Pelodiscus sinensis: one gene and its partners. The protein of the gene in region 1 interacts with the protein of each later gene in a biochemical or structural test. Links are inferred from orthologs where the notes say so. Each region holds a gene or a part of one and is shown in the gene's direction. Other genes may lie near its edges.

Region 1 (7,500 bases):
TCTTCCCTGGAAAAAGATTTGGCCACTTGGTGCTGGCAATACAGAATGGATTTCAGGGGAAACTGAAATCAGGAAGACTCTTTTTGTCTCTGGGAACTGCAGAGTCAGGATCTGACAGTGGTTTTATTTTACTAGCCAGCCCCCATTATCTACACTCAAAGTGCCTGGTTGGGGAATTAAACTGTGACACACTGACACCCACCTTCCTGGCCTCTGGGGCTCTCCACCACCCTGTTGTGCTGAGCCAGAAATTCTGGTCTTCCCTAGGCAAGGAACAAAGTTGGGGTTACCACCTGCCCTGCAGAGCAAGACAGGCACAGAATTCAGGAGTGCTCAGTTGTAAGGGCTCACCTCCCAGAAAACCAACTTGCAAAAGGGGCCAATCCCTCCCCCCCAAAAAGATCTGTCTGATTTTGTACAGGTTTTATACAGAGAAAGCTCATAAGATCAGCCTTTTTTATCAATGAAAGAGAGAGATGCACAGTGGTTGCTTCCCTCCAGGTAACAATTAGTTACATTGAGCTTGGTAATTAACAAGTGTTTTTGTTAAGTATAAAAAAATAGGCTTTAAGTGGTTGCAAGTGAAAATAGATCAAAGTACATTACTAAATTAAAATGGACAAAAACTGGTTAGCTAGTAAGAAACTTGCTAAGGAACTTGTTACATGCAATTTTTTACCTTAAACAGTTGTTCTTATCTCAAGTAAAGAGCTTCAAGTTGGAGTTGGTGTTTACCTGGCTTGGGTCTTCTACAGCTTTTCAGAGCTTTCTAGGACCAACCGAGGTTTGGACTTACAGGACAAACAAGTCAAACAAAAGGAAGTATTTCTTCACAAAACACATAGTCAACCTGTGGAACTCCTTGCTGGAGGATGTTTTGAAGGCCAAGACTTCATCAGGGTTCAAAAAAGCACTAGATAAATTCATGGAGGATAGGTCCATCAGTGCTTATTAGCCAGGATGGGTAGGAATCGTGTCCCTGGCCTCTGTTTGTCAGACCCTGGGAACGGGTGACAGGGGAGGGATCACTTGAGGGTTTCCTCTTCTGTTCATTCCCTCTGGGGCACCTGGCATTGGCCACTGTCAGAAGACAGAATCTGGGGCTAGATGGATGATTGGTGTGACCAAGTATGGCCATTCTTATGTTTTAAGACTATTCATAGGTCGTTGATTTGATCACAATTAAAATTTCTGGGGCATCAGTAATGGCCTCATTAGCATTATAAACAGAGCCTGACTTCACAGACAAGAACGATACATGCACCAAAACAGGATAAATACACTCCAGGGATTGTAACATTAAAATGGGTAGTTGACACGTGACATTTTGTCTAAAGTGTCTTAGAGTGATGCATATTTGTATTCATAAGCCAGTTTGCATAAGGCATGGGGGAGACACAGCACCCAGTTTAGAATCCCCCATGGGTGTCACTGTGCAAGATTGCCCTCCCTCGATGCACACGCCTGCTTGCGGGGGTTGCCACAACGGGAGACCCTGATGCTGGCCTCGATGTAGCCGGTCCCTGCAAGTCACAAGGGAGCTGGAACATGGGGGCCACACAGCAGAGGAATCAGGCTGAACGGGGGCGCACTCAAGGGGCCAGGAATGGGATACCTTGGACCGTGCCTGAGACTGGAGATCAGGGCCCCAGTGAGGGAGAGCTGAGCAGACTGGCTGGGAGATCAGATTGGGATGGGAGAAGGAAACGCCAGAGATAAACCACATTTTGGCCCCGGTGCGTTTTTTTTTTTTGCTCAACAACTTTAAGCCTAGAGGACCAGCATCTTTTTTCTTACAAAAAAAAAACAACAAAAAACCACTGGATACAAGCAACGTATCTCAAAAAACAATAGTTACCACAGTGAGCAACTGTTTTTTACACAGGGAATATCAGGGTAGTCGGGTATTTTCTTCCTTGCTTTGCTTGAAGCCTTCCCTGGAAAAACCACAGAAGCAAATATTTTCTTAGTCCTTCAGCCAAGGAGCCTGGGGATCTGGAGATTACAGCTTTACAAAGAACAATCAACCGAGATATCTTTTCTCCCTAATGTGGCTCTGGCATTTGAGTTAAATGAAGAAAAACAATCCAAGGGGTCAAACAGCCTAAAACCAAATCAGATGCTGTCTCAGCTAACCACTTTCAGGAAAACCAGGGCAGGGGAGATGCACCTCTCTGGGGTGCACCCAAGTGTCTGACTTATCCAGTGCTCTAGATCAGTGGTCACCAACCAGTAGATCGGGATCTACTGGTAGATCTTGGAGCCTTTGACAAGTGATCCTGACAGGTTTGGTTGGGAGGCTGTTAAGTGCTGGCATCTGTGCTGCTCCTGCTCTCTGCCTTGGGGCTTCCCCACAGGCTTGGGAGCCTCTTGCTTGCTGTGCAAGGCACAAGAAGAAGAGGAGGGGGGATGCTGATGTCAACATCTCCACAGAGCACAGGGGGGCAGGGATGGAGAGAGTTTGCTGGCTGCTTTTGGGAATGGTGCAGGGCCAGGGGAGGGGTGAACCACCCTTAGGCCCCTGCGCCACCACCCAGCAGCCACCTGTGGTAAGCGGTGCCCAGCTGGAGTCTGCATTCCAAACCTTGGGCCCAGTCCTGAACCCCTCCTGCACCCCAAACCTCTGCCCTAGCCCTGAGTCCCCTTGGACCCAAACTCCCTCCCATATCCTGCACCCCAACTCCCTGCCCCAGGCTCAGCTCAGAACCCCCCCTACACTCCAAATCCGTTAGCCCAAGATCAGAGACCACACCCTTGCACCCCAGCCTGATAAAAGAGAGGGAGGGAGGATGGAGTGGGCAGGGGCAGGACCTTGGAGAAGGGGCAGGAAGGAGGCGGGGCAAGAGTGTTTGGGTTTGAGGTGGATCCTGGATTGCACTTAAATTCAAAAAGTGCTCTCATGCTTAAAAAGGTAGGAGACCCCTCTAGATCAGTGTTTCTTAAACTATGTTCCCTGGAACACTGGTATTTTGTGAATAACTCACAGGTGTACCGCCACCTCTTCTTTGTTTTTGTTACTTCTTTGTGTTTGTCTTTTTTTTGTCTGACAACCATTTTTTTTTGAAGAAAATGTGCATACAAAATACTATTGTTTGGTGTTCCGTGGTCTCAAAAAGTTGAAGAGACATTGCTCTAGAGCAACAAAAAACAGACCCAGAAATAAACCAGAAATTCTGCGCCTCACCAGCTGGACACTGGAACCTGGCGGGAGGATTCTAGTGAGTGGCATGTTAAAAAGCAGTGGTTATGGAAGAAGGATTACAAGGGGGAAGGAATTTGATAAACAGCAAAACTTCTTTCTGAGTCACTAACAACTCGGAAGCAACTGGTCTTAAATCCTTATGGATCGGTGGCCTAAGAGGTGGCATGCAAGATGAGCTACTAGTGGGGGCTTTGACCATTTGTTTATTTTTGTGACAGTTTCGCTAAAGATCCATATTTCTTTTAAACTGGTTATAGATTTGTATTTCTTTAAATGTTCAGAGTTGCAGGAAATAATGGTGGGGTGGGGGGTCAGACAATTATATAACATCAGTAGAGGCTGAGAGTCAAAAACTTAACACTTTACAAACTGTTAAAATACGAGGGCTATGTCTACACTAGCGGCGTCTTGCATGAGTAATATGCAAATGAGGCTAAGCATGGAATATTGTGGAGCCTCATTTGCATAGCTAATGAGCCACCATTTTTGCAGAAGAGGCTTTTGCACCAGAAGGAGCCTTGGTGCACGTAACAAAATTTATTCTGCACGTGGATGGAAAAAATTAGAGGGAATATTGGCCAGTAATGAGGAGGAGACAGAAAATATGCCCATTTTTAACGAGAAGTTGGGGCACTTAGAAGGGGAGTTAAAGGGACTGTCCCTTTAAGAACGGGGGACGTCTGGTCACCATGGAGATAATGCTGTTCCATTCTAATTGACAATGCCACCAGAATGTGACACCAGGCAGTCACGTGGGTCTGGCCAGTTGGCGTGAGTTCGGTGACCTTTGACCTCGGCCTTGGTGGTATGGTGGGCAGAAGAGCCCAGTCTCCCCCCCAAGACAGAAGCTATGGGGGTGTATGTCCAGCAACCTGGGGCTGAGGCATGTGTGGGCCCTGGGGAGGGGGAATCTTACAAATTCCTCTCCCAGAGGCGCTGACAACCCTTCCAAACCACAGGCCGGAAGTCATTCTGCCCTCAGTAAAGATGGCGGCCGGTGGACTTCCGCCCTGCGCCATACCCGACCCTCCCCCAGTCCTTTGGAACGCTTGGTCTTTCCCGCACCAAGGAGGCGAGCGTCGGGCGGAAAGAGCCGAGCGCTGGGTGGGCGGGGCCGAGCGGCGTGACGCCACGAGCCGAGCGCTGGGCGGAAAGGGCCGAGCCCTGGCTGGGCGGCAGCGGACGTCTGACGTCACATGCCGAGCGTGCGGCGGAAAGGGCCGAGGCTGGGAGCGGGCGGGGCCACGCGCCGGGACGGAAAGCGGCGCGGTCCAATCCGCCGGCGAGGGGCGCCGCCGAAGCGCTTCCGGAAAGGGCCGAATCCCTTCCGGAAGGAGCCGAGCGGGCCGGCCGTTGCCGACGCGCACCCGCAGCGGCAGCAGCCTGGGCGGCCCCGCTCCGCTTCCCCCGGGCCCGGCCGCAGCGAGCGACTGACCCGGCCCGGCGCCGGGACCCGCACAGGCCGCGCCGAGCCCCGCCCCCGGGCCCGGCCCCTCGGCCCGGCCGCCCGGCAGGATGATCAAGCTGTTCTCGCTCAAGCAGCAGAAGAAGGAGGAGGAGTCGGCCGGCGGCACCAAGGGCAGCAGCAAGAAGGCGTCGGCCGCGCAGCTCCGCATCCAGAAAGGTACCGCCCCCCCAACCCCCCCCCGGCCCCCCCCCGGCCCGGTACCGCCCCCCCCCCGCCGCCCCCGACCCCCCCCCGCCCGGTACCGCCCCGCCCCCCCGACCCCCCCCCTGCCCGGTACCGCCCCTCCCCCCCCGGAACCACCCCCCCCGGCCCGGTACCGCCCCTCCCCCCCCGGAACCTCCCCCCCCGGCCCGGTACCGCCCCTCCCCCCCCGGAACCTCCCCCCCACCGGCCCGGTACCGCCCCTCCCCCCCGGAACCTCCCCCCCACCGGCCCGGTACCGCCCCTCCCCCCCGGGAACCTCCCCCCACCGGCCCGGTACCGCCCCTCCCCCCCGGGAACCTCCCCCCACCGGCCCGGTACCGCCCCTCCCCCCGGCCCCCCCCCTCCCCGAACCTCCCCCCACCGGCCTGGTACCGCCCGCCCCTCCCCCCCTCACTGGACCGGTACCGCTCCTCCCCGCCCGGTACCGCCCGGCCCCTCCCCCCTCGGTACCCCCCGGACCGGTATCGCCCCTCCCCACCGGCCCGGTACTGCCCGGCCCCTCCCCCCTCGGTACCCCCCGGACCGGTATCGCCCCTCCCCACCGGCCCGGTACTGCCCGGCCCCTCCCCCCTCGGTACCCTCCGTCCGTCCGTCCCCCCCCAGACCGGTACTGCCCAGCCCCTCCCCCCATGGTACCCCCCTGGCCCGGTATCGCACAGCTCCTCCTCCCTCAGTACCCTCCCCCGGCCCAGTATCGGCCCCCCCCCCCACCAGACCGGTACCGCCCAGCCCTTCCCACCTCGGTACTCCCCCAGTCTGGTATCGCCCCTCCCCCCCTGGCTCGGTACTGCTCGGGTTCCCCCCCCCCAGCCCGGTACCGGCCCACTCCTTTGCCACTGGCCCGGCACTTCCCAATCCCGCTCCTCTGGCCTGGCCCAACTCCTCCCCCTGGTCTGGTACCTTCCGCCTCCTCTGGCCCAATCCCCTGGCCAGGCCTGGTGCCGCTCCGCTTAGCGCCTTCCCCCACGCCGGCCTGGTACCTCCTGCCCTAACCCTCCCCAGCCTGGCACCACCCAGCCCGACCCTCTCCCCTCTTCAGTCTAACCCCCGCCTGTGCCCGATACCATCCCCAGATGCTTCCCAGCCTGGTACTCCCTGGCTTAGCCCCTTGCCCCACTGCCTGGTACCGCCTGGCCCGCCCCCTTCCGCCTACTGGCCTCACCTAAGTTCCCCCCTTTCCTCGGCCCAGTCCAGATGCTGGTCTCGATCTCCTGGTACCATTGGTCTAGCCCAGGCCCCTCTCTCCTAGTCTGGTATTGGCTGACCTGGTCCAAATGTTGATTGGTATCACCCAGCTGAGACCCTCTGCACTCTGGTACTGACCAGACCCTGATTGGTACCGTCCGGCATCGATCCTCCCCAGCTCAGTGCCACCCAGACCAGACCCTGGGCCTAGATCCCTTCCCATAATGGTACCGCCCAGACCAGATCCCACTCCAGTACCACCGAGATCCTTATGGGTACAGCCCAGCCTACATCCCTGCCACCCTGGTACCACAGAGATCAGACCCTCATTGGTACTGCCCGGCCTAGATCCCCACCCCATTTTGGTATGGCCCAGATCAGAACCTCATTGGTAGCTGGGCCAACCCAGATGCTCTGACCCTGCCTGGTGCTGTCTGCTGAGGCCCAAATCTTGGTACCACAAGTTGCAGTGTTTTGCCCCTCCCCATCTGGCCCAAATTCTCTATCCACCCAGTGTGGTGCCACCCAGTCCCACTGTTGTGTAAATCCAGTTCACTGGTGCCACCTGGTCCACGTTCCTCCAGCACCATCCACCCAGAACCATCCTCTGGTGTGACCAGGATGGGCTCGGAACAGTATAACCAGCTAACCCCCGATCGGTGCTGCCTGTGCGTAGTGCTAGGACCGAGACCTGCCGAGACTCAAGGGAAGCCCCTCTCTGAAAATTACCAGCTGCTCAAAGCCTGGGGCGACCCATGGAGCCCCCACCTTTGCGATAAGGCACCACCTGGCCCAGGCAGATGCCAGCCTCCTTCCTCCGCTCTGTGCCCACAGTCTGCATTGGTGGGAAGAGACGCCTCCCATTCACTGGGAGGATGCCCCCACTTGGACCCCACAGACCCCTCCCAATGGGGGGAGTGCAGTCGGGAAGTTCCCTCTTTGTTGATGCAGACCCCCATGTTCTCCTGCCCTTTAGAGAATCCCTTTGAGCCCCCCTTCCCCACACAGGTACTTGAGATGCCCCTGCAGGAATGGGGCATTTTTCCTCCCCTTCAGGGGCTTCCTGCTCATTCACCCTCACTAGGGCTTTAGCTCCACTTCCCTCCTGGGTGCCACCCCCCATGGAGGTCTTCCCCAACGGGACCTGCACCCTTCCCCACTGAAGGTTCATACAGCCTCTCCAAGACACACCTATAGAAATTGACGCCCCCTCCCATTGGGGAAACTCCAGGAGACACCCCCTGCAGATTGGGGGGCTCCCTGCTGGAGAAACTTCAGGAGACCCCCCTCCCACTCATGCTTTCAGGCTCCCGCACTGTGGAGCGCCAGGAGACCCCTGCTTGTCTTAAGTGTACTGCCATCTAGAGTCCTGCCCCACTGGCCGGCCCCTCCCTCATTCCCATATCTCCAGGGAGTATTCCTTCTCCCATCCCACTGGGGA
Region 2 (7,677 bases), on another chromosome or scaffold:
CTAGTCCAGTGAAGTTGCTGACGGATGATCATTGTTTTGATACAGGTAGTCTTTGCCTCTTACAGAACACTGATGTTAGTGCACCTGTTTTCCCATTTGATCTTCAAGCTCTTGTAGAGGCAGCATTGGTGATACCTCTTAAGGACTTACAAGTGTACCTTGTCCAGGTTTTTGACCCATACCATAGTGTTGGCAAAATGATGGCTTGATAGACAAGAAGTTTGGTGTCTTGTTTGAATATCGTGATCTTCAAAAACCCTGTGCCATAAATGAGCAAAGGCTACACTGGCATAGCTCAGACGATGTTGAATTTCTACACCAATATCTTCCTTGAATGAAAGATAACTTCCAAGGCAGAGAAAATGATCAACATTCTCCAGTGCCTCTCCATTGATTTTAATAGATAGGGCAGAGGGTACCTCATTTGAAGAGGGCTGATGGAGCACTTTGGTCTTCTTGATGTTGAAGGCAAGACCAAGACATGCATAAGCATCAGCAAACATGCTCAAGATAGCGGAGATCTTTCTCAGAGGGGGCAAAAACTGCATTGTCATCAGCAGGGCTTGACAAACCACGGCGAGAGCTACTTGCCAGCCCCTCACTGCGCGTGCGTGCGGTGTCAGTAAATGGGGCGCACAGAGCAACCAGTTGAAATTTACTCACCACAGGGCAAGTAGAATCAGCAGTTTCTTGAGCCCTGGTCATCAGCATACTGAAGTTCCACAATAGACGTGGTGGCAATTTTACTCTTTTTTTCAGCCTGCTAAGCCTAAACAGCTTTTCATCAATTCTGTAGATGATTTTAATGGCAGCTGGGAGCTTCCCAGCAATTAGGAAAAAATGACAGCAATAAAGACCTGTTTGACTCCTGTTTGTACTTTGAAAGATTCACTCTGGGAGCCAGTGCTGCTTAGAACAGTCACTTTTACGAAGAAACTTTAGAACATGGATGTATTTATCAGGACATCCAGTCTTTGAAAGTACAGTCCAAAACGCATGGCGAATCACTGAGTCAAAGGCTTTAGTAAGAGCAATAAAAGCAATGTTTTGCTTCCAATACTTTTTTTGCAGCTGCCATGCAATGAAGATTATATCTGCAGTTCTGCGACTCAGTCAGAAACCACTCTATGACTCTGATAAAATTTCTTCTGACAGGTTGCAAGGACCCATGCCAGAATTTTGCCTGCAACAGCAAGGAGAAAGATACCACAAGAGTTTCCACAGTGCATACTATTCCCTTTCTTAAAGAGGGTAACAATCAAGGCATCACTCATTTCACTGGATATCACTTCTTTTATCCAGATTTTAAGGATAAGCTGGCTAAGATGCCGAATTAACTCTGGTCCACTGTCTTTAAAGATTTCGGCAGGGATCAGCCATCTGCACCTGCTGCCTTGTTGTTCTTCATTTGCTTGATGGCATTATATACCTCATACAAACTGGGAGGGTCTCTGAGCTCATTCCTAGAACGTAGTTGGGGGATTTGCTCAAGAACTTGATCTGAAACCATGGAGTTACGATTAAGAAGATCTTCAAAATGTTCTTTCCAATGAAAATTAATGACTTCATTGTCCTGCAAAAGTGCGGTTCCATTCTTAAAGAGAAGGGGATTCATGTCATGACAAGCTGGCCCATAAACAGCCTTAGGGTATGTCTACACTACCCCGCTAGTTCGAACTAGCGGGGTAATGTATGCATACCGCACTTGCTAATGAAGCCCGGGATTTGAATTTCCCGGGCTTCATTAGCATAAGCGGGGAGCCGCCATTTTTAAATCCCCGCTGCTTCGAACCCCGTGTAGCGCGGCTACACGGGGCTCGAACTAGGTAGTTCGGACTAGGGTCCTATTCCGAACTACCGGTACTCCTCATGAAACGAGGTGTACCGGTAGTTCGGAATAGGCACCCTAGTCCGAACTACCTAGTTCGAGCCCCGTGTAGCCGCGCTACACGGGGTTCGAAGCAGCGGGGATTTAAAAATGGCGGCTCCCCGCTTATGCTAATGAAGCCCGGGAAATTCAAATCCCGGGCTTCATTAGCAAGTGCGGTATGCATACATTACCCTCCTAGTTCGAACTAGGAGGGTAGTGTAGACATACCCTCAGTGTAAAGAAACCACGTGTATGTTGGAATTCTTGCATTTTCTCAGTCCGCCATTTGTTCTTGAGGTCTCTGATTTTACATTGGACTTCCTCCCTCATCTTAGCATGGGCTTCTCTCTTGAACTGCAATTTATATCATTCTCTTCTCATTGATGAGTTGCTCGATTTCAACATCATTCTCATCAAACCAGTCCTGATGCTGTCTGGTGTGGTTGCCTATGGTTTCTGCACAGCTATTGATGATTGCTGCTTTCAGCTGGCTCTAATGTTCCTCAGTTTCTTTCAGAAACTCTGATGGAAGCTTTTCTTCTTAGACTGCTTGGAAGTGGTCACGCTTAATGGGGTCCTTCAGATCTTGAATCTTCAGCTTGTGCCTCATCTGCTTCTTTTGCAGTCTCTGTTTGGGGACGATCTTAATTTTCATTGTGGATCAAATGAGGCGATGATCAGTTCAGCAGTCATTAGCATTTGTCATTGCTCTTGTGAGAAGTACGTTACTGTGATCCTGAGCACAAAGTAAGACATAGTTCAGAAAATGCCAGAGCTTTGAATGTGGGTGTCTCCAAACTGTTTTGAACTTGTCCTTTTGTCAAAAAAGGATATTTGTGATGATAAATTCGTGTTCTGCACACTTGGTCAGGAGCAGGATTCCATTTGAGTTCTTTTTGCCAACTTCTTTCCCGGTTGTTCCTTTCCACAGGTCTGAGTCTCGTCCAACATGTGCATTAAAATCCCCTGGGAGAATGATCTTACCTTCTTTAGGGGGTCTCTGATAAAATGTTTCCTGTTGAGAGTAGAAATCTTCCTTTACATCCTCATCAGCATCCATTGTTGAAACATAGGTGCTCACAATAGTTACCTGTTGGTTTTTGGTGAGCCCTCAGTTAGACTGTCATAAGCTCCTCATTGATGCCTACTGGCAGCTCAGAGATGCATCTTACAAGCTTGGTTTTTATAGCAAAGCCTACTCCATGCAATTGAGGTTCAGCTAAATATTTTCCCTCCAGAAGTAGATGTATTCTTTCTCCTCCCTCGCCTGTCCTTCACCAGCTCTTATAATTTTGGAAAAGGCAGCAATATCGATGTTAAACGGATTAAATTCACAAGCAATGATAGCTGTATGTTGCTCTAGTCGGTGCACTGTCTGAGTTGTCCACCAGGGTTCCAAAATTGAAAAGTTTCTTATATTTTTGACCACTAGAGTGGTAATCCTGCAGCTATCCAGTCAGGAGGGAAAAAGGCAAGACTATTTTTAGTGCACTTTTCTAGCCCTCTCCCTATGTGGGGTGAGCAGAATGAGTCTTAAAGAGGACTGCTCAGTCATAGGTGCAGCTGCCAAAATGCTCAACTTGCCTCTGTCCTCGAGCAAGAGGACAGAGTCGCACACCCACCGCCTGTGTGTCGATCTGTGACTAGGAACTTCTGGATCTCACTGTCCTGTTCTGATCGCCATTCGCTGATCGCCACTGGACTTTTGACTTGGTGCAGGTGTTGTTTTCCCACAAACTGGAAGATGCCAGTGTGGGACTTTTTTTTAAAGTGGGGAGACTGGTGCACAACAGTCATCACACTTTCCTTGACAGGGAGAGGTCTTGAAAACAATGGCACGGAGACCACCTTTTGGAGGTCTTCTATCTGCTGCTGCCTTCATCCACCTACCCAGCCGCTGTAACATTACACAACAGTTTCAACTCCATTGTGCAGTTATCCTCCGTCACCTCTGCCGTTGAAGACATCTTGGCTCACATGTTGTCTGGAACCTTGTTCTTTCTGTCATGGGTGATCCTAAGGGAGTACATGACTCCAGGCAGGGTCACTTTCGGGGGGTCACTGGAACATGCAAGCATCTCCACCACTACAAGGTGATGATCCATGGTGAGGAAGCAAGAATCATACCTGTAGGCCAGCAATTCACCCTTAAAAATACTCCCTTTCGCTTGTTTTATACCAGCTGCCTATTAAACGATCTATATCAGAGGTAACAGCCAAGCACCTCTTCACTGAAGGACAACAAGCCCAGCTAAAGATGACTACAGGGGGCCCAGTGAACATTGAACCCATAGCCTTTGCTTTACATAGTCCCTGCTCTAACCACTGAGCCCTACCTCAAACTAAGCCCTAGGCAATGGAGGGAGGGACACATGGAGTCCAGCGACTCAGTCCCAGGTGACAATGCCATGAACAGTACAATGTGGCTCAATGCCAGAGGACCCATGATGTGTGACCATGGGGGTGCAGGGCCGGGGACAGGAGGATGGGGCACTTGCTGCGCAGCCACAGCGGGCAGGGCGCAGCGCAGGCCTCAGTTTCCCTGTGGCCACCCTGAAGTTTCATCCCGGGGAAGAACCAACCTGCTCGCCTCTGGCTGCACTATTCATGCCCTCCGCGAGGGGGCGCTGCCCGTCCCGGGCCGGGCGCCGCCCGGCGACCTCCCCAAGATGGCGGCGGACTCAGGCCGCCGCGCTTTGCGTCACGCCGTCTTCTCGCGCAGGGAGGCGCGAGCCTGCGGTTGGGGGCGGCGCGTGCGCGCAGTCCTCGTCCGGGTCGGGCTGGGCGTCGAGCTCGCGAGCGGCGGCGGCTGAGACGCTGTGGCGGGGCCGCTGTGTGGGGCGGCGGCAGGAGCGGGGCAGCCCAGGCCGGGGCGGGGAGGGGCAGGGCCCGGATGGGGGTGACTGTGGAGGGCGGCTGATTTCTCTCCCCTCCCCCCCGCCCTTCTTCGCGGGGAGCGATGTCGAATCCAGGGACCCGAAGAAACGGCTCCAGCATCAAAATCCGGCTCACAGGTAGCGGAGGGGGGCGGGGCTTTCCCCCCGCGCGCGCCCACGCCTGGGCGGGGGGGGGGGGGGGGGTTGAGGCGCTGCGCACGGCAGAGAGGGGCTGGGTGGGCACGAGAGAGGGGCCAGGCCCCCCGCCCCCTGCGGGGTGCGCGGGACCGGTGGGGAGCGCAGGGGCGGGGGGGGGGGGCGTAGGATCTGGGGGGCTGGCCAAGGGTCGGCGCTCCTGGGGGCGGGGGCCCGGAAGGAGATGGGGATCAGAGCCCGAGGGGGGGGCTGGGTTTGTCTCCCTTCCCTAGTGGGGGGGCGGGGAGAGTGTTTGGGGGCTCGGTGGGGGCTCCCAACTCCGCAGCCCATGGGAGGCTCCGCCAAGGTGATTCTCTTCTCGGGCTGCAGCTGGGACCGAGGTCCTGGGGGCGCGAGGCTGTAGAGGGTCTTCTGCCTTCCCCCAGGGGGAAACATTGCGGCTGGGTTAAAGGCTTTTATCTCTGTGGTGTCGTTTTTGAGGAGGCTGCAGCTTGTTGAAATCCACAGTAATTCTAGGGGCTGAGTTAGAGAGAGCTGGGTAAAGTTGAGAATTTTTCTTTCCTTTTTCTCTTCCGCTTTATTTCTATCCAGACCCTGTTTCTTAGCAATCGTCCTTCAATTCTCACCACTTCCTCCTGCAGATTTCCTTACCCCACAATCTAGCATTTGTATTTCTTAAGCTTCTTTCTCCTGTTCCTGTTGTTTTTTTTTCCCAGTTGGGGTTGTCAAATGGGTGGTACATGAAGTCAGAAGTCCAGACACCACTGAACTGCTTTTTTGGCATTTTTCTTAAATCAGCTTTACGTGTCTCCCATTGTGTTTTGCATTTGCACGTTATTGGTCCCTTAACCCATGCATATGAGTGTCCTGGTGTATGCATGCCATAGGGCAATGGACAGCTCCTGCTAGGGAGTATCCCTCTTTGGCAGTCTCCAAATGTCCTGCCCGTTCATAGCATCTTTCCTCTCCGCTCCCCCCTTAAAAAAGTCTGGTTTTGCTAGATCTATTTAGAGAATTTATGTTTTCTGCATGTCAGTTTTTCTAGTGGTAAATCTGTCCCTGTCTTAATAGTTTATATTTTGTTAGCCCTGATTAATAATGAATTTGCTTTTTTCTGCAATGGCAAGGTTCACTTGCTGGAAAATATACATAAGGAAATAAATCAACTACCTGTTTGATCTCTTTCAGGCACTGTCATCTAATGTGCTTTCCTTAAGTAAATCACATAGTGCACTTTAAAATTTGTTTGGTCACAAGATGTGGTGGGTATATTATACCCTTACACGTTAAATATTGTTATACCCTTAAGGAGCTGAATTAAATATTTTATAAAGGCATTGGCATCTTTTCTTTAAGAGAAATATGTGATTTCTATTTCTAAAATTACATCATGACCTACTGATGAATAAGGTCTAGTCCAGGTTGTGAAAGGCAACAGGTGTATCCACTATAGGCTCTCTTAGACTGAAACAACCATAATGCTATTGTACTGCATGAATTTAACATAATTTTTTTTGCTGGGATATAAAATATCATAGATTGATAAGAATATAGCACTAGGTAAATTTTAATGATAAACCTAATTTGGTTCTTAGTTACAATGCAATCAATCATAAAAACCTGCAGTCAGCCAGCATTAAAACTCATTTTCTTTTATAAAGTGCAGAGAGGGGATGTAAAAAGATGAAAAAAAAAACCCCCACAAAATGTGTGACAGATCAAAATTCTATTGGTTACACGGTTAACCATGGAGTAACTGGCTCCTAGCCCCACAGCACAGTGGGCCCAGCCAGACCCACTCCAGCTCAGCTAGGCACCAGTTAACGGGTTACTGGCCAGCATCACCCAATAATTACTGCATTCCAAAGGATAATTCTTACTGGGTAACTGGTTACCCATGTATGTCCCTAGTGCAGAGCTAGCTGATCTCAAATAATAATTCTAGGAAACAGGGTGATCAAATATATGTTTCAGAGGGGAAATATATATAGTTTAGGGGTTTTTTTGGATCTCCTCTCCTAGTAGTTTAGAATTTAGGCTTTGTGAGTTTTTTAAGAAAGATAAAATAAGCTTTCATGAAACTAAAGAAAAGTTTAAAATGTTTAAAATACATAAGTATTTGATAGTTTTATATGTGTATATGATAAATACATGCTCACAGATTTATTAATGATTGTTTCTAAAAACAAATGTGGAATATTTCTATTGATTTCAGAAGGAGCTGAGGATTGTTGTGTAAGACACACAATACTGTCCATAATCTCAGTAAAAATTATTCTGAGCAGATATTATGAATTTTGCATTTTTTAAACAAATACTGTATCAAGTAGCTTGTAACTTGCATGAATTGACCTTCATAATTCAAAGCATTTGGAGGGATGCTACATGTTTTGTTAATAGAATAACTTCTGTGACTTGTTTGAGTGTAAAACCCTTTAAACTATATGGAGGGAATTTCCCACCTGGTCAATAATACTTTCAGTTTTATTAATAAATAACCCAGACAGTGGGTTAAAATGTGTGGGTTTTATTCTAAAAATTACTTTTGGAGCTTTGTCTCTTCAGTACTATTAACAAACATGTTACTACTTGTTTCATTTGAAACTTGTTTGTGGATGCATCAGATTTGAATAACTATAACTATAGCTATTATGCCTTTTGTTACTATATTCTACTTTGTTGTTGAGATACTTGAGCTGAATCAAAACAAAAAGGACATCTGTTTACATCATGTTGCTTTGTGACTTGCAATTTGTTTTCCTATGATTATGAACT
Region 3 (7,072 bases), on another chromosome or scaffold:
CTGTGCTCCTGCCCCTCTATTAGAGGCAGCAGCCCCTGTCTGTGGGGCGGTAGGAAGGAGGGGGCAAAGCTCCCCACAAATAGAGGCTGCTGCTGCAGAAGCTTCCCATCCCTCCCTCCCTCATCCCATTAGAGGCAGTAGCGCAGGGCAGGAAGATGGCAACAGCTCCTGCCTCCCTTCCTCTGCCCCACACTGCCTCTGTAGGAGGCAGCAAGGGGGGGACAGGCACATATGTGAAGCAGGCTCACATGGAGAGCTGCTTATAAGCTGACTCCCTGCACATATTGGTTCCTGCCTGCTCCCCTCATCCTCTGTGCTGCTGCCTCTCTATTAGAGGCAGCAGCATGGCAGGGAGGGGAGAGACACTGGCTCCCACCTCCCCTCCTCTCTAATATAGAGGCAGCAGATGGGGGAAATGCATGTAGTCAAACCTGGGCTTCTTGGTTAATCCTGTTATCAGTTAATCGTGTAGTAATCTACACGTTGACATCCCTACTATCAACATATACCTAGGATTTTAAGAAAAGTAGAATTTTAATAAGGGAAAATAGAAACATTACCAATCGATCTCTTCTACATCCTTTTTAACTTGGATGCTCATTAATACTGCACAAACTTGATTAGGTGCTGACACCATATTTGTTTGACAGGGGAATAAAACTCTGTAGGGAACAGTTTAAAACAGCAACTGTGATGCAATCAAATATAATGTTGACACTGAAGTGCAGCATAGCTCCTCTTTCACATCATCAGCTATTTGACTGTTTGCTACTGGCAAGGAGTTCTGAATAGGATACATTATTTGACAATGCCTATTATGAAAATAACTTATTTCAACCACCTATACAATACTATTTCTATCCAGTTTGAATGCAATAGTGTGTTGTACCACTGTAATTCTAATACCATTCTTGGGCTATTGCTCACTACAATGCTTGCATTTTATATCAAGCTTTTTTTATTTTAGAGAACACTGATAACACTTAGCTAACACAGAGCCAGTTTCTCTCCAGCTGGCAAATGTGACATGAAATCATTCACTCAGTTTCACAGCTATCCATAGTAACTAAGTCACTCAAACAAATCCATCCCTGGTGTAAGCATATTGAAATGAAGATCCTGGATTTATATAAGGATTGAACTGGGCTCATAATTTCCATAAGGGTCAACAGCTGCAAAAGCTGGCTCCTGTGAGGTGGTGTCATGAGGAGAGATCAAGGATTCTTGGGATGGCTAAAAAGATGACATTCTCCAATTATATTAAAATCTTAGAATCCAACATTCACTTCCTACGTTCCATCTCACACAAATTAAACAGATTTAGCGCCTCCCCTCCAATTTTTTGCATTATGAACACTGTAGAATAGCTACACTGCAAATGACTGCATCAGTTAGGTATACACAATACATTTAGCTGGCAACTCGCATGGATTTTCACTTTTGAAAGGTCTTACTCCTTCAGCTGTGGATACAATTTTTTGCTTTGTTAACCTCCAAATCTATAGTAAAATTCAAAGCTGCCAAGAATAGTGAAAGACCACTTAGCAAAATAAAGTGAAAATGAAATAAAACCAAAGGCCTAAATCCACCCCTACTGTAATCCCATTTTTTTTTTTATCAATGGTATAACTCTGTTGACTTCAGTGGAGTTACTCCAGAGATGAAATGACCCAAAAGTTTATCACTGTTTCTATCTACAATCATAAATGTGTGCTTTTTCAGTAAAAGTAGCCCAAGAAACCAGTCTGTAATGAAAGTTGGAACAAGGGGAGTTTTGCCTGGTTTCGAATTCTGTTACAGAAGTTTCAGCTTTAAAACAACTGTTAACCCAGTTGGTACTCAACACCTCTGAGCTACTCACACACTCAATGCACTTGGAATTCCCATTGACTTTAGTGGGAATTCTAAGGGGTAAGTGAAGAGAGGGCCACATGCAACATTGAGTCCTCCAAGATCAAACTTTTGTTTCTTTAATTTTCATTTAAGTATTGAGTAAAGTATCGACCAGAAAGTATAATGAATACTGAAAGCAAGAAGACAGTTCAATTTGTAAATCAATGGCTTAGATTTTATCACTGGCTTTCCATATAAGTTCATTCACATGGAAAGAACCAAGAACTGATTCTCCACACATGTGGCAGTAACCACATTGTGACATGGCTTTGATGCAGCATTACATGTGAATAAATGGAAAAGATCTAGTCCATGGCTAATTCTATACAGTAAAATAGTTTTGAGTTTGCTAGCACAGGATTGTGAATGCTTTGCCTAGTTTAAGCAGCACATATGGTCCTGCATCCTAACTTACGTTTTCTAATAATAAGTGAAAGACTGAAGAGTAAAATCCTTATTTGGGCTATTATAAGGGAAGGACTCTTATTGCTTCAAATATTTCTTAACCCTCTCTGGACACTGAAAACATTCAATGACCATAAGCAGTCAAGGCCAATATTGATTTAACTTTGCTACCAATACAAAAAGAGCATAGGCTTGTTTTCTGGACTGTTAATATTTTCCTCCTCTCCTACTCTGTTTGGGTCTTCATGCTCAGAGAAGAGAGTTTTAATGTTGTGTGGCAAATTTAGCCCAGGTAATAAAATCTCAACTTTCTTATACAATAGAGGCATCTACAAATATGATGTTAACATGAAGTATGGATTTTGCACCTTATTTGCTTCTTGGCTCTAAGCCAAATGCAACTGAACACATGAAAAAAAATAATGTAGATTTCCCAACACTGGAACAGTTCCTAAACACAAGAATAGGTATAAATATTAATGCAGTACAGCAAGGCATAGGGCTGTTTTTAACTTTGTGGCTCATTTTAGTAAGTGAGATTCTGTCATGCTCTACCTCCTCTCCCATCCCTCACTGTTGGTTTTCAAAATGTTTCATTCCACATGCAATCACGTGCTCTAGAGACTACTGTTGGCTCATGGCCCACAATAAAAGAGCCACAGCACTTGAGAATGTTTTAAAAGATTAAATATATGCATTCAATTCTAATGTTTCAAAGGGGGAGGGGGATTCCCACTTTCATTTTCACGGAAGAGCAGAGCTGGCCCAAGAACTACTTTCTGGGACCCTGACTGGAAGTATGACTCAGTGGTAGGGCTGCCAGATGGTTTCAACAAAAATACCAGACACGCTTGTCATTGCTTCTTATTTAGAAAATACCGGACATTTACATTTTCTCAATTTGTTTCCCGGAACAGAAAGCTCAAATACTGGACTGTCTGGTTCAAAACCGGACACCTGGCAGCCCTACATGGGTGTAGGTGTATCCAGGCCGGGAAGTTGCCCGCAGGGGATGTGCTGAGGGCCGCAGCCGGGACCAAAGAGGAAAAGGAGGCCCTGTGTAGTGTGGGGACCCTCCAGGGGCAAGCGCCCAGGTTCACAGGGTGGGACCACGAGCCCTGGGCTGGGACGAATCCCCAGGGGGATGTTCGCGGGAAGCCTGCCCGTGGCTGCAGGAGCCCTGCGTTGCCAGGATGGGAGTCTCTAAGCACCGGGTGCTCGCTGCCCCGGGGACCCGCTGGCAGGCGAGGGGCCCGCTCTGCGGTGAGGGGCGCGGCGCGGGACTGCTCGGAGCTCGCGGGGCGGCTGCCCAACTTTCCTGGCTGCGGGGGGGGGGGGGGAACCTGCAGCAGCGAGCAGGGCCGGAGCGAGCCCTTGATGTGACACTTGCAAAGAGGCGGCGCCCAGCCCTGCGCCAGGGCGGCCCCCTCAGCGCCCCCGGACGGTCAGGGCAGCACCGCCACCACCGGCTACTCGCCTACAAGCTGGACTGTACCAATGTGAGAGCCGGGGGAGGTGGCAACACGAGTCCTCCAAATCCCAGTTTAGGTCATCTTTGCATACCAACATCGACCTCTTTCCCCTCTATCTGCCTCTCCCTCTTTACCTTCAGGGCCAAGCGCCCTACAGCCCTCCTCACAGTTTCCCCCCTTTCCTTGCGTAATGGTTCGCTCCAACCTACTCCAGTCGCCACTCAACCCGGTTGGGGGCGGGAGCGGTTTCTTGCCCGCTTTTTCCCTCACTGTACGTGCAGCGTCGGGCACGCCGGGACGCTCTTCTGCGTGACGACGCCTCACGCATCCAGCTGACGCTTCACCCCCGGAAGTGATGCAGAGGAGGGAGGGGGTCGAAGCTGAGTCTGGTTGGGAGCTGCCGAGGGTGAGTGAATTGGACCTTCTCACTTCCCGTCCGTTTCAGGGAGGCTTTGCCTGTGCTGGGCTGTGGGGGGCCAGGAGGGGTAGGGGGGCCGTGTAGGGAGATAATAGGGCTGGGAAAAAGCATCATCCTAAGTGCCCCGGCTCATAAACCAGACTCTCCAGCCCCTGCGTGGGGGGGAGGGTCTTTGCCCCCTGAGGGGGAGGCTGTGGGGTCCCTGCCCCCCGAGAGAGAGAGCGGGAGGAAGCTGCGGGGTCTCTGTGCCGCTTACGGGGTGCTGGTGGGGCGGAGTGTATCCGCATCTCTTAAAGGATGGACCGGGCTGGTGGGGAGGGTCCTATGTCCATCCCTTTGCCGTCTGAGTGGGTGGAGGGTTACAGGGTTCTCTACCCTGAAGCTCCTCTAACAGGTACTCACGCTACTGCCCTGATAACAAGTAGTTCCTCCGCATACCGTACCCCCGCCACGCACCTCTCTCAGCGGTATGGGTGCAGCGGTTTCAGGGTTAGACTTTAAACAGACGCTTCCTCTGGAACTGTTGGAAGTTATCGGAGTCAGCAGTGAAAGAAGAGATCGTGTGGTATTTATGTTAGATAAAGGGTGGGAGGATTTAGTTTTGTGGTGTTGTAATGTAACATTTCACTCCAATGTGCTTTTTCATCTTTTATGTATATGATTCTCCTACTATTTGAGCAGCGTAAAAGAAGCATAGTTCTCTAGCCCCAAGAGGATTACTGATTAAGTCATCGTATCTGTATCTGTGGAAATGATGATATTATGTTGGTAGTTCTATGTTCAAGGATGCTAAAATGTCTTTCTATAAATTATCCACATCATTAATGAACAATAACCAACCACCTAGAGTGAAGGGTGGCTGCCAGCTGGCTCATAAACACACACTAGAAAGGTATTCTTTTAAACATATTTTGCAATCATCTAATGCTAAATGATGTGTGTATATACATCTTCATAGTGTATGTTAGAAAGTACATGTGGGTGAAGTTAGTCTTCTTTTCATTATTTGAAAATGCTGACCTAACCCATGCAGGTTTTTAGTATTCCATATATATCACGTGTGTATTTAAATTAATCATGGAAGCTGCAAATGTGTCCCAATCACTCCTATTGTTTAGGTTATGTAGACACTGTTATAAGTAATATTAATAACAATGTTGGAGTAACTTGTGTAAACGATGTTGAAGCAAACATTAGTTGAAAAGACCGTTTCTTTCCTATTACTATTATTGAAAGGAATACTTTGGGTTTCTTTATATAATATAGCTAAAACTATTAATGCTATGTTTTATAAAACAAATGGGTACCTATGGCAACATAGCTGTTTTGCAGAATATTCTTCTAAATTAATTATTCTCCCTTTAGGGTATGGTGTAAGTTGTAACAAAAGTGAAAATTGCCAATGAGTTACCATATTGCAATACTCGATATTTTGCTCTTAAGTAAGAACTTCAGGTTAAGCCAGTACTATTGAAGAGAATGGTCAGATGAGGAAAATGGTCAGGTGATGTCTATTTTCTAAATATAACTTTCTAGTATCTAGTTTAGAATCTCCATGTTAAACATTTAATACATTGTTAGTAGTTGTTAATATTTGACGTGGGCTAATGTTGAACGTTTGTGCACCTTAACTCTAATAAAGGCTTTGCTGGGTGTCTGATCACTCACTTTCCAGGTACTTAAGAATAGTGGAAGGATGGTCTCTTGGCTAACTCATAGAGCTGAGAGTCATGAGATCTGATCTTGGCTCTGTTTTTGTTTTGTTTTTTTAAACTCAAGTGTACTGTAAGGCTTAAGTAATGGTCTGTGAAGAGCATTTATAATTCTTCAGATGAAAGGCAACATGCAGTAGGCAACTACATATCGGTATCATAGGGGGAAAAGAGTTACAAAGACAGTACAGTTCTTCATTTGTGTTGACAGACACAATCTAATTCCAGTGCAAATAATGTTAGAAACTTGTTGGAAAGTTCAAGTTATGCAGTATTTTTTTATTCTAATAATTTATTCATAGTTAATATTGAGTTAGAGCTCAACCTTCGTAAGTTTGTTTAAAGATGCTGGGATAGTAGGGGTATATGTGTATCAGTAAGGGTATGTCTACGCAGCAGCGTTATTTCAGAATAACTGACATTATTTTGGAATAACAAAGTGTGTCTACACTGCAAGCCATTATTTGAAATAATGGCAAGCTGGAGGACTTCTTATTCCAACTCCTGTAACCCTCATTTTATGAGGAGTAAGGGAAGTTGAAGGAAGAGTGTTCTTCCTTAGACTTCCTGCTGTGTAAACCGTGCCAAAAGCCGATTTAAGTTATTTCGACTTCTGCTACATCAATTGCATAGCTTAAGTTGCATAGCTTAATTCAACTTTAGCCCTGCTGTGTAGATGTACCCTAATATTCCTTGATAGCTCAACTTGATGCTCTTGTGATTCCTTTACTCTTGAGCCTGATAACCTATATGATCTCTAATTTGCCACTAGATCCCAGAAATGGGGGGGTTGGAGGCCTATAGAGTGCAGGTATTTAGCATTAGCTCTTAGTTAAGTGTTATTCCTGATAAACTTGGCTGATGTGTTCAGTCTGTGATAGTAGCAGTAGTTTTTATATCATTGGATTTTTGTATAGATTTTTTTTTTAAACAAATTTTTCTAACAGCACTTTGGTGCTGTGACTTTAAGCACTTAACATGAAGAAGGGCAACAATATCAGTAACAGGGAAAGAGGGTGGTTTCGATAACAAAATCTAGGGCAGCTACTTCTGTAAGCCTGGGAGGGGGAAGAAGATTACTTACTGTCCAAAGGATAGAGGCTGCCAGACTATTTGGCAGGCTGAAATACAAACGACATCCCCACACCTATTCTCACCTCTCTTCTGTATAT
Region 4 (6,851 bases), on another chromosome or scaffold:
TTAATCTGTATTGCATGTGCAACTTTATCTACTGTTTTGTGAGCCAGGGTGTGCACCTGAGGTGAGGATCTTGTGAGAAACTTAGTGTATGATTGTGTAATTAAAGGTTATATCATAATGCATATACACAAGGGACCAAAATTAAGATTGCATGGTCAATCAGAAATCTGGTGTTTCCTCCCTTTTGTGTCTGCTATAAACTAATTTTTCTGTAACATAGATTTTTTCTTAATTTCCTAAGAATTTTTCACCCAAATACTTTTATGGTAGAGGCAGTTCCCCCTCCCTCCATAGCTCGCTTACATCCAGAACCTCCAGTATTGTGGCTGCCTTCTTCCACTTGAGCTACAGGACTGACTACATTAGCTGGTAGCAGAAAGCTGTTACGCCACTTGCATCATGTACTGGGAGTTTAGATGGGCGGCAGGCATTTGGACTGCTGGCTGCCTTTCTCTCCCCTCCTCCATGCCTAGAAATGGGAAACTCCTTCCCTATATGTTGCCCTTGGGATGGCAGGAATATACTTCTAGATCCATGTGTTGGAATTTAGTTAGAAGAATGGAAGAGCAATCCTGGCTGTTTTGTCGGTTTTCAGGTATTCCTGATACACTACTTATGCCTGCTTTGCAATTTGCCTGATTTTTTAGCATGTTTGGGGGTTGTGGTGAGGGTATCATTTTGGTAAGCTGCCAGAATTTTCTCACAGAATACATCAGGAAAAGGAAAATTGAGATTTTTGACAGTTTATAAGTCAACTAAATCTGAATGATGTTTCATGAGACAAATGAAAGGCATTCCTCTAGCCCAGAAGCGGGCAATAATTTTTTGCCGGGGGCCACTTTGGAAATTTTTGAAGTGGCCCTGGGCTGCACAGGAAGGGGCAGGGCATTGAGCGGAAGGGGTAGGGCATTGAGTGGAAGGGACGGGGCCAAGATATTTCTGTGTTCCCCACCCCCAGACAATTATTGGTCTGGTGGTGAGAGAGTGCCTTTGCCCCTACCCCACGTTCCCCCAAGGTGCCCATGCCCCTGGCGTGGGAGGAGACTTCTCTTGCTCCTCTGCCTCTAGGCCAATTAGGACCTGGGGGCGGGGGAGCGTGCAAAGCCTCCTCTGCTTTCCCTCATGCCCTGCGAACAGCGCACAGTGCTTCAAAGCGCTGTGCGCTCCTAGTAGGACAGGAAGAGGCTTCGTGAGCTCCCCCATTCCAAGGCTCTAATTGGCCTGGGGGCGGGGGAGCAGCAAAGTCCCGCGGGCTGGATCCACCCGGTTGGCGGGTCAGATCTGGCCCGTGGAGGCTCTTTTGCCCACTCCTGCTGTAACCCAAGGACTTCCTTCCCTGACATATTTCATATACTTATTGTGTTAGAGTACCAGAGGGCTAGCCATGTTAGGGCATGCCTACACTGGGAAATTATTTCAAAATAACTAAATTTGAAATAACTCCTGAAATAACTATTTCCAAATAAGCTTATTCCCAAGGAAAGTAGGAGCACAGATTTCAAAATAACCAGCCTGTTATTTCAAAATAACAGGGTTGGTAGTGTGGATGCTCCACTTATTATTTTGAAAGATGGGGAGGGAGGTTATTTCAAAATAACTCCCTAGTGTAGGCCAGGGCTAAGTCTGTATCCGCAAAAACAATGAGGAATCCTGTGGTATCTTAACAGTTTTATTTGGGCATAAGCTTTAGTGGACAAAAACCATATCCATGCATCTGACCAAGTGGATTTTTGCTCACAAAAGCTTAAGCCCAAATAAATCTATTAAGGTCAAGATACCATAGGACTCATTTTTACTATTAGATTTATTATAAAAACACACACACACACACACACACAAAAGAAAACTAATCCAAAACAACCCACTGTCAACAAAAAAGCTACAATTGTATTATATAAGGAAATATTGTATACAGGAAGTTCTTCAAGCAGGAATGTCTCTTCTCCCTCTAAAAAGCAGAGACTAACAGGATAGCATCTCCTGCAGATGACACCCAAGGGAACTACGCAGTTCAATTTGTAGAACTGGCCCTATCTAGAATCTTCTATCTCATATGGACTTGTGTACATATAGACCACTGCAGTTTATCAAAGACACTTACCTCCACCTTCCTAGTGCTGGGTACATAAAGGATTTGCTGGATATAACTGCACTGCTCAGGAGTGTAGATTAAAGATGGTCTCTTTAATAATGTTGACCTATAGATTACTAGGATTACAGATGTGGCTAAATAATTCAAGGAGATACATTTATTGCAGTACTTCAAATTTTATTTTACATCTGAAAATTTGGCTTGCTTAATGTGCTATTTGACCAAAAGTCAGCTCTGGCTTGCAGATGTGCGGGTTGTTCAGTCTTCAGGTCCATTTAGTGTTATGTGTCTCTGATATTATAACTAGCAATCTTGCTGGCAGTAGTATAGCTACTGTTCTATCCACCAGACACTTACTTTAGATAAAACTCATCACTCTTGTGTTGGGACCAGTCATGCTCTGGCTCTTCATTTATTTCCAGATACTTTATTGGTATGACAATAAGTATTGCCAGAGTGGAAAGGACAGATTTCTATCAGACATATGTACAATAACTCACCTCATCTAGCCCAAGACAGGACTTCATAGTGGGGTCTTGCCTCCTAAGTTTATATGCCATTCTTGAGCATGCCTGCTGTATGGATGCAAAGTCAAGAATAACAAATGAACAACCTTCCCCTGCACTGGTCCTGTCTTCTTGCTTTTTTCTCAGGCAGTGGAATTGTTCTTTGCAGTTCTTTTTTGGAATTATCGGACATAAAACTTTAATTGAGTGTTAAAGCCTTCATTCTGTTCTCAATTATAGCTTCTGCCCTCTATTGTTCTTCATTATTTTTTTTTCCCAATTGCTAAATATCAAGTTGTTGAGTGTTTGGTCTATGATAAATTTACTCTCATGTCACAAGTAGTAACTTTTTGAAGCATCAGCTAGTTCTAGGTTGACCATATTTCCAAAAGAGAAAACAGGCCTCCCCAGCTGTTCTTGAGAAGCACTCCCTTCTCCCCTCCTGAGGGTGTCATGGAATCCTGCCTGTGGGGGGAATTTGAGGATCCCGCCCTCAGGAAACTGTTGCCTTTTCTGGAACTATGGCCTTCCCCCATGCTGAACCACTGTCTTCCCAGCTGTACCTCCCCCCTGAATCGGAACTGGCACCTTCCCCATGTTCCTCTAAACCCCACTTTGCCACTTTTTTTTAAACAAAAGTGGGTATTTATCCTGTTTGCTCTCACTAGCTCAGCACGCCATTGAGAGAAAAAGGACAAACATCTCCCTTTGAGAAAAAAAGCTGGGACTTTTAAAAGGGGCCATGTGGTCATCCCAGCAAGTTCTGCTGTCCCAGCCCATCCTTTGCCTCTGCAGCTACAATGAAAGCCTGTTCTTCCCTTGCAGCCTTTCCCTGGGCTGCAGGGAGATCGGTTCTCAACAACCTCTCGCAAAAAATCTGCGCGCAGCGCCCCGCGGGGCCAGGCTAGGTGTGAAAAGCTCCGTGGCCCACTCCACATCCCCCGCCCGCCTACCCCGCCCCATTGCTCCAGCCCCACCCACTGAGAGCCGCTAGTCAGAACTCCGTTCTCGTTAACCAATCAAAACAGGCCATGGGCGTGGTCCAACCCTTCAGGACCAATAAGCTTCCCGGGAGACACAAAGTAGTGTTCTTTGCACGCGCTTTCAGAGCCTGGAATAATAGACGTAAGCAAGACCGAATCAATATGTCGGGGAGGCGGTGCTCGTTGAGACCTTTAACCAATAAGAGGAAGGAGGTAGGCGGGCCGAGCAGTGTGGGCCCGGCAGAGGAAGAATGACGGGCGCGTGCCCTAATGGCGCAGTGAGGCGGGCGTTAGTCACGCGAGCCCGAGCCAATGGCGTGCACGTGTGGGCGGGGCAGGAGGGCTCGTGCCTTGGCTCTGTGATTGGGAGACAGAGACAGAGGGAGCCCGGCCGGGCGGTGTGTGCGCTGCACGAAAATGCACTCGGATGCCGCCGCTGTCAGTGAGTAGCGGCTGGGCCGGGCTTCCCGCCGCGAGCAGGCTCAGGGGTCTCCCGCAGCCCGTCCTAGGGGCTCTGCCCGGTGCCCGAGGCGGGAAGCCTGCGGGACGAGGGCGGCGTGGGGCCTGTGGGGGCATTTGCGGGGATATCTGGCGGGGCGCCCTGCACCCCGGAGCCGCAGCGGGATCGGCCGGGGAGGTTAGTGGGGACCCCGCGGGTGCCGCGGGCGCTGACAGAGCCTGTGACGCAGTTTCTCCAGTCGCGCACAGGAGCCTCGAGTCCGGCGCCGGCCCCGCAGGGTCCCTCTCTGGACCCAGGTGTGTGGGGTGGAGAGCCCAGCGCGCGCCGCCTTGCGGCACGTTCCCCCTCGGGTAACTTAACGGGTTTCGTGTCAGCCCGGTGCGGGAGAAAGGGGCTGCGAAGGGGAACGAGCCCGGTGCATTGTGGGAGCGGGAGTCTCTCCTGCTGCACAACGCTGATGGGCTCAGCGCCGGCGGGGACTACAACTCCCGGCGTGCAACGCGCTCCAACTCGCTGCCCTCTCTCCCAGCTTGGGTAAGTGCGAGTTGCCGCCTGGGGCTCCGCTCGGGGGTCGGTCTAGGCACCTTGCGCGGGGAGCGCCGCCAGGGACGTGTTCCCCGCAGGGATGTGGGAGACCAGGGCAGAGTTATCTCGGGAAGAAATAGCTCTGTTGGGGTAGGAGGCAGGAGGGCAGCGTGTGACCAGCGTGCTGCCCTTTGCGGGAAGGGGGAGTGTTGATTGGGGTTTGCCCCTGAGGGGCGACGCTCCCTGGGGTAGTAGAGTACAGGGGTGCCAAGTGCAGGCAGGGCTTTGGTTTGCCCATACAGGTGGGGGGGGGGAAGCAGGGTTGCAGAGCACAGCTAGGCATGACCATACCACTACTGTCCCCCATGAAATATGTATAGTATGTGGTGAAAGCACACAGAAGGCCAGATTTCATGGTCCATGGTGTATATTGCATGGCTGTGAAGCTGATAGTGAAATAACCAATTGATAGGACCCTATCTGTTTCTTACTCCCATGTAGAGTTAGGAAGAGGGGGCTCCTGAAGAACCATTTTTCTGTGCACTGGGTTATCCCATGAATCTGCCAAAGAGATCTCAAGGCAACTTGCTTGGAGGTATTCTTCAGTCCCCTAAGGAGGACTGCCTTGCTTCTTCCACCTCTATAGGACACTTTCCCATGCCTCTTTGCAATTACTCCAGCAGAAACTATTCTTCCACATAGGTTAATAGCATATGGGCTTGATCTGCCGCTGAAGACATTCAGGAGCAGTTCCTCTTCATCCTCTGTTACCCCTGGGAGTGAGAGAGCAGTTCAAATCACTACTGCCTGTGGAAGATGGCCCCAGTGGACAGTGTATGGCTCCATGAGCCATGGGAGTAAGGGCTAGGCTGAGTCTCCTAGGATCACATGTCAGTGTCCCCAGTGGTAATAATCTGGTCAGGAAAAAGAGTCCCTGCTTGTAGCTTTCTTAACAGGCCTGTGTTCTAAAAGATGTGTGCATCATGCATCTTCCCTAAGTAGCCTGTGTTGATCTTAGTAAAACATCCACCAGTGCTTTCAGGAGTAGCCTTGTTAATGTACTTCTGTGGCAAGGTGGTCTGGTGCCAAAATAAGAATATGCATGCCAGCTATTACCCTACTGTAGTTGAGAAACCCCATTGCTGCAAAACTATCTATGTCCATCATACAGTCCTTTGTATCAGGATGCGATTAATGATTCTACGTGCTTGTCATAGCAACCTATATGGTGGATTTCCTAACTCCAGATTGTTACCAATCAGTCAAGAATCAATCTGGTGTTGGAAGTCTTTGACACACCAAAAAAAGTTGGCTTCCAAACAAGTATATACAATAATTACTGTGGTTGCTGTACATTAACTTAGATCAGCTTAATTTTGCATGGTAGGCTTGCCCTCTGTAATATAAAACAGTGAGATCTGGTTCTGATCAAGATTGTAAATAAGAGTAAACATGAAGGGGGGGGGAATTAAAAAAAAAGGGAATATCAGTTGGTTACATAGTTTAAGTATAAACAATAGATATGGCAGTTAATCTGTTTATCAAGTTTTATGCAATACTTCCAACTTGATGGCTATTAAAGAGAGTTCATGTAGAGTTGTCTCACACACCCAGGTAAGCATTCCAAAATTTTGTTTTTTTTCTATTACTAATGTATTGTACTGTTGATTGATAGTAAATCAGAAATGTGTGCCATGGTTATGATTCTGTTCTAGCTTCGTGTATGGTATTTCTCATTTACTCAGTTTTGTCACGCTAATTCATTTAGTCCTTAAATTTTCTGATCTATTTAAACCCAGACATGACTTTTTATTGGAAGCCCACTTGAAATAAACCTGTTTGTATTTCAGGCAAGTGCATGTGGGTAATGCTCTCAGCTATTGTTTGCATTTGGATAGATTAAATTTTCAGTGAGAACTGAAACTTAAGCCACGTTTGCAGGAAATTGGTTCAGATTTAAAGCTGAACATTAAAAGTTGGAAATTTAATAAATTCACATAATTTTGCTATGTTTTAAAATCCATTCAGCCTTTTTGGTTGGTTTTTATGCACTGAGTTGCTCAGTGACTTTGACTGTAACCTGTTTCTTTTAGAAACATGCCAAATATATTGCAGGTTCTTTTGCTTTTTGACCCTGATTGTCATAATTGCTGAAGGGCATTTTGTAAACACTATATATTGTTTCTCCCTATCTTGGTTCTGTAGATTTTTGGTTTTGTTTACATCACGGATGATCGTGACTAATTGACCTGCCCAAGCCAAATTTGTCATCACTTTTTCTTAAT

Evidence for each region.
Region 2: the proteins of UBE2M (region 1) and SMURF1 form a complex in vitro, tested with the Homo sapiens proteins (2 studies listed by BioGRID). The link is inferred for Pelodiscus sinensis from reciprocal best matches to the Homo sapiens genes UBE2M and SMURF1.
Region 3: the proteins of UBE2M (region 1) and DCUN1D3 form a complex in vitro, tested with the Homo sapiens proteins (4 studies listed by BioGRID and IntAct). The link is inferred for Pelodiscus sinensis from reciprocal best matches to the Homo sapiens genes UBE2M and DCUN1D3.
Region 4: the proteins of UBE2M (region 1) and DCUN1D4 form a complex in vitro, tested with the Homo sapiens proteins (3 studies listed by BioGRID). The link is inferred for Pelodiscus sinensis from reciprocal best matches to the Homo sapiens genes UBE2M and DCUN1D4.

Annotation. Positions count from the first base shown.
Region 1 is NW_027465849.1:2,663,803-2,671,302, reverse strand, and holds the start of UBE2M (NEDD8-conjugating enzyme Ubc12), read left to right. Parts: upstream 1-4,479; 5' UTR 4,480-4,717; coding exon 4,718-4,826; intron 4,827-7,500.
Region 2 is NC_134726.1:31,801,306-31,808,982, reverse strand, and holds the start of SMURF1 (E3 ubiquitin-protein ligase SMURF1), read left to right. Parts: upstream 1-4,677; 5' UTR 4,678-4,829; coding exon 4,830-4,884; intron 4,885-7,677. UniProt on the Homo sapiens protein: E3 ubiquitin-protein ligase that acts as a negative regulator of BMP signaling pathway. Mediates ubiquitination and degradation of SMAD1 and SMAD5, 2 receptor-regulated SMADs specific for the BMP pathway.
Region 3 is NC_134726.1:22,096,619-22,103,690, reverse strand, and holds the start of DCUN1D3 (DCN1-like protein 3), read left to right. Parts: upstream 1-4,062; 5' UTR 4,063-4,176; intron 4,177-4,212; exon of another isoform or gene 4,213-5,080; intron 5,081-7,072. UniProt on the Homo sapiens protein: Contributes to the neddylation of all cullins by transferring NEDD8 from N-terminally acetylated NEDD8-conjugating E2s enzyme to different cullin C-terminal domain-RBX complexes and may play a role in the cell cycle progression by regulating the SCF ubiquitin E3 ligase complex, after UV damage.
Region 4 is NC_134715.1:86,848,789-86,855,639, reverse strand, and holds the start of DCUN1D4 (DCN1-like protein 4), read left to right. Parts: upstream 1-3,832; 5' UTR 3,833-3,998; coding exon 3,999-4,023; intron 4,024-4,058; exon of another isoform or gene 4,059-4,575; intron 4,576-6,851. UniProt on the Homo sapiens protein: Contributes to the neddylation of all cullins by transferring NEDD8 from N-terminally acetylated NEDD8-conjugating E2s enzyme to different cullin C-terminal domain-RBX complexes which are necessary for the activation of cullin-RING E3 ubiquitin ligases (CRLs).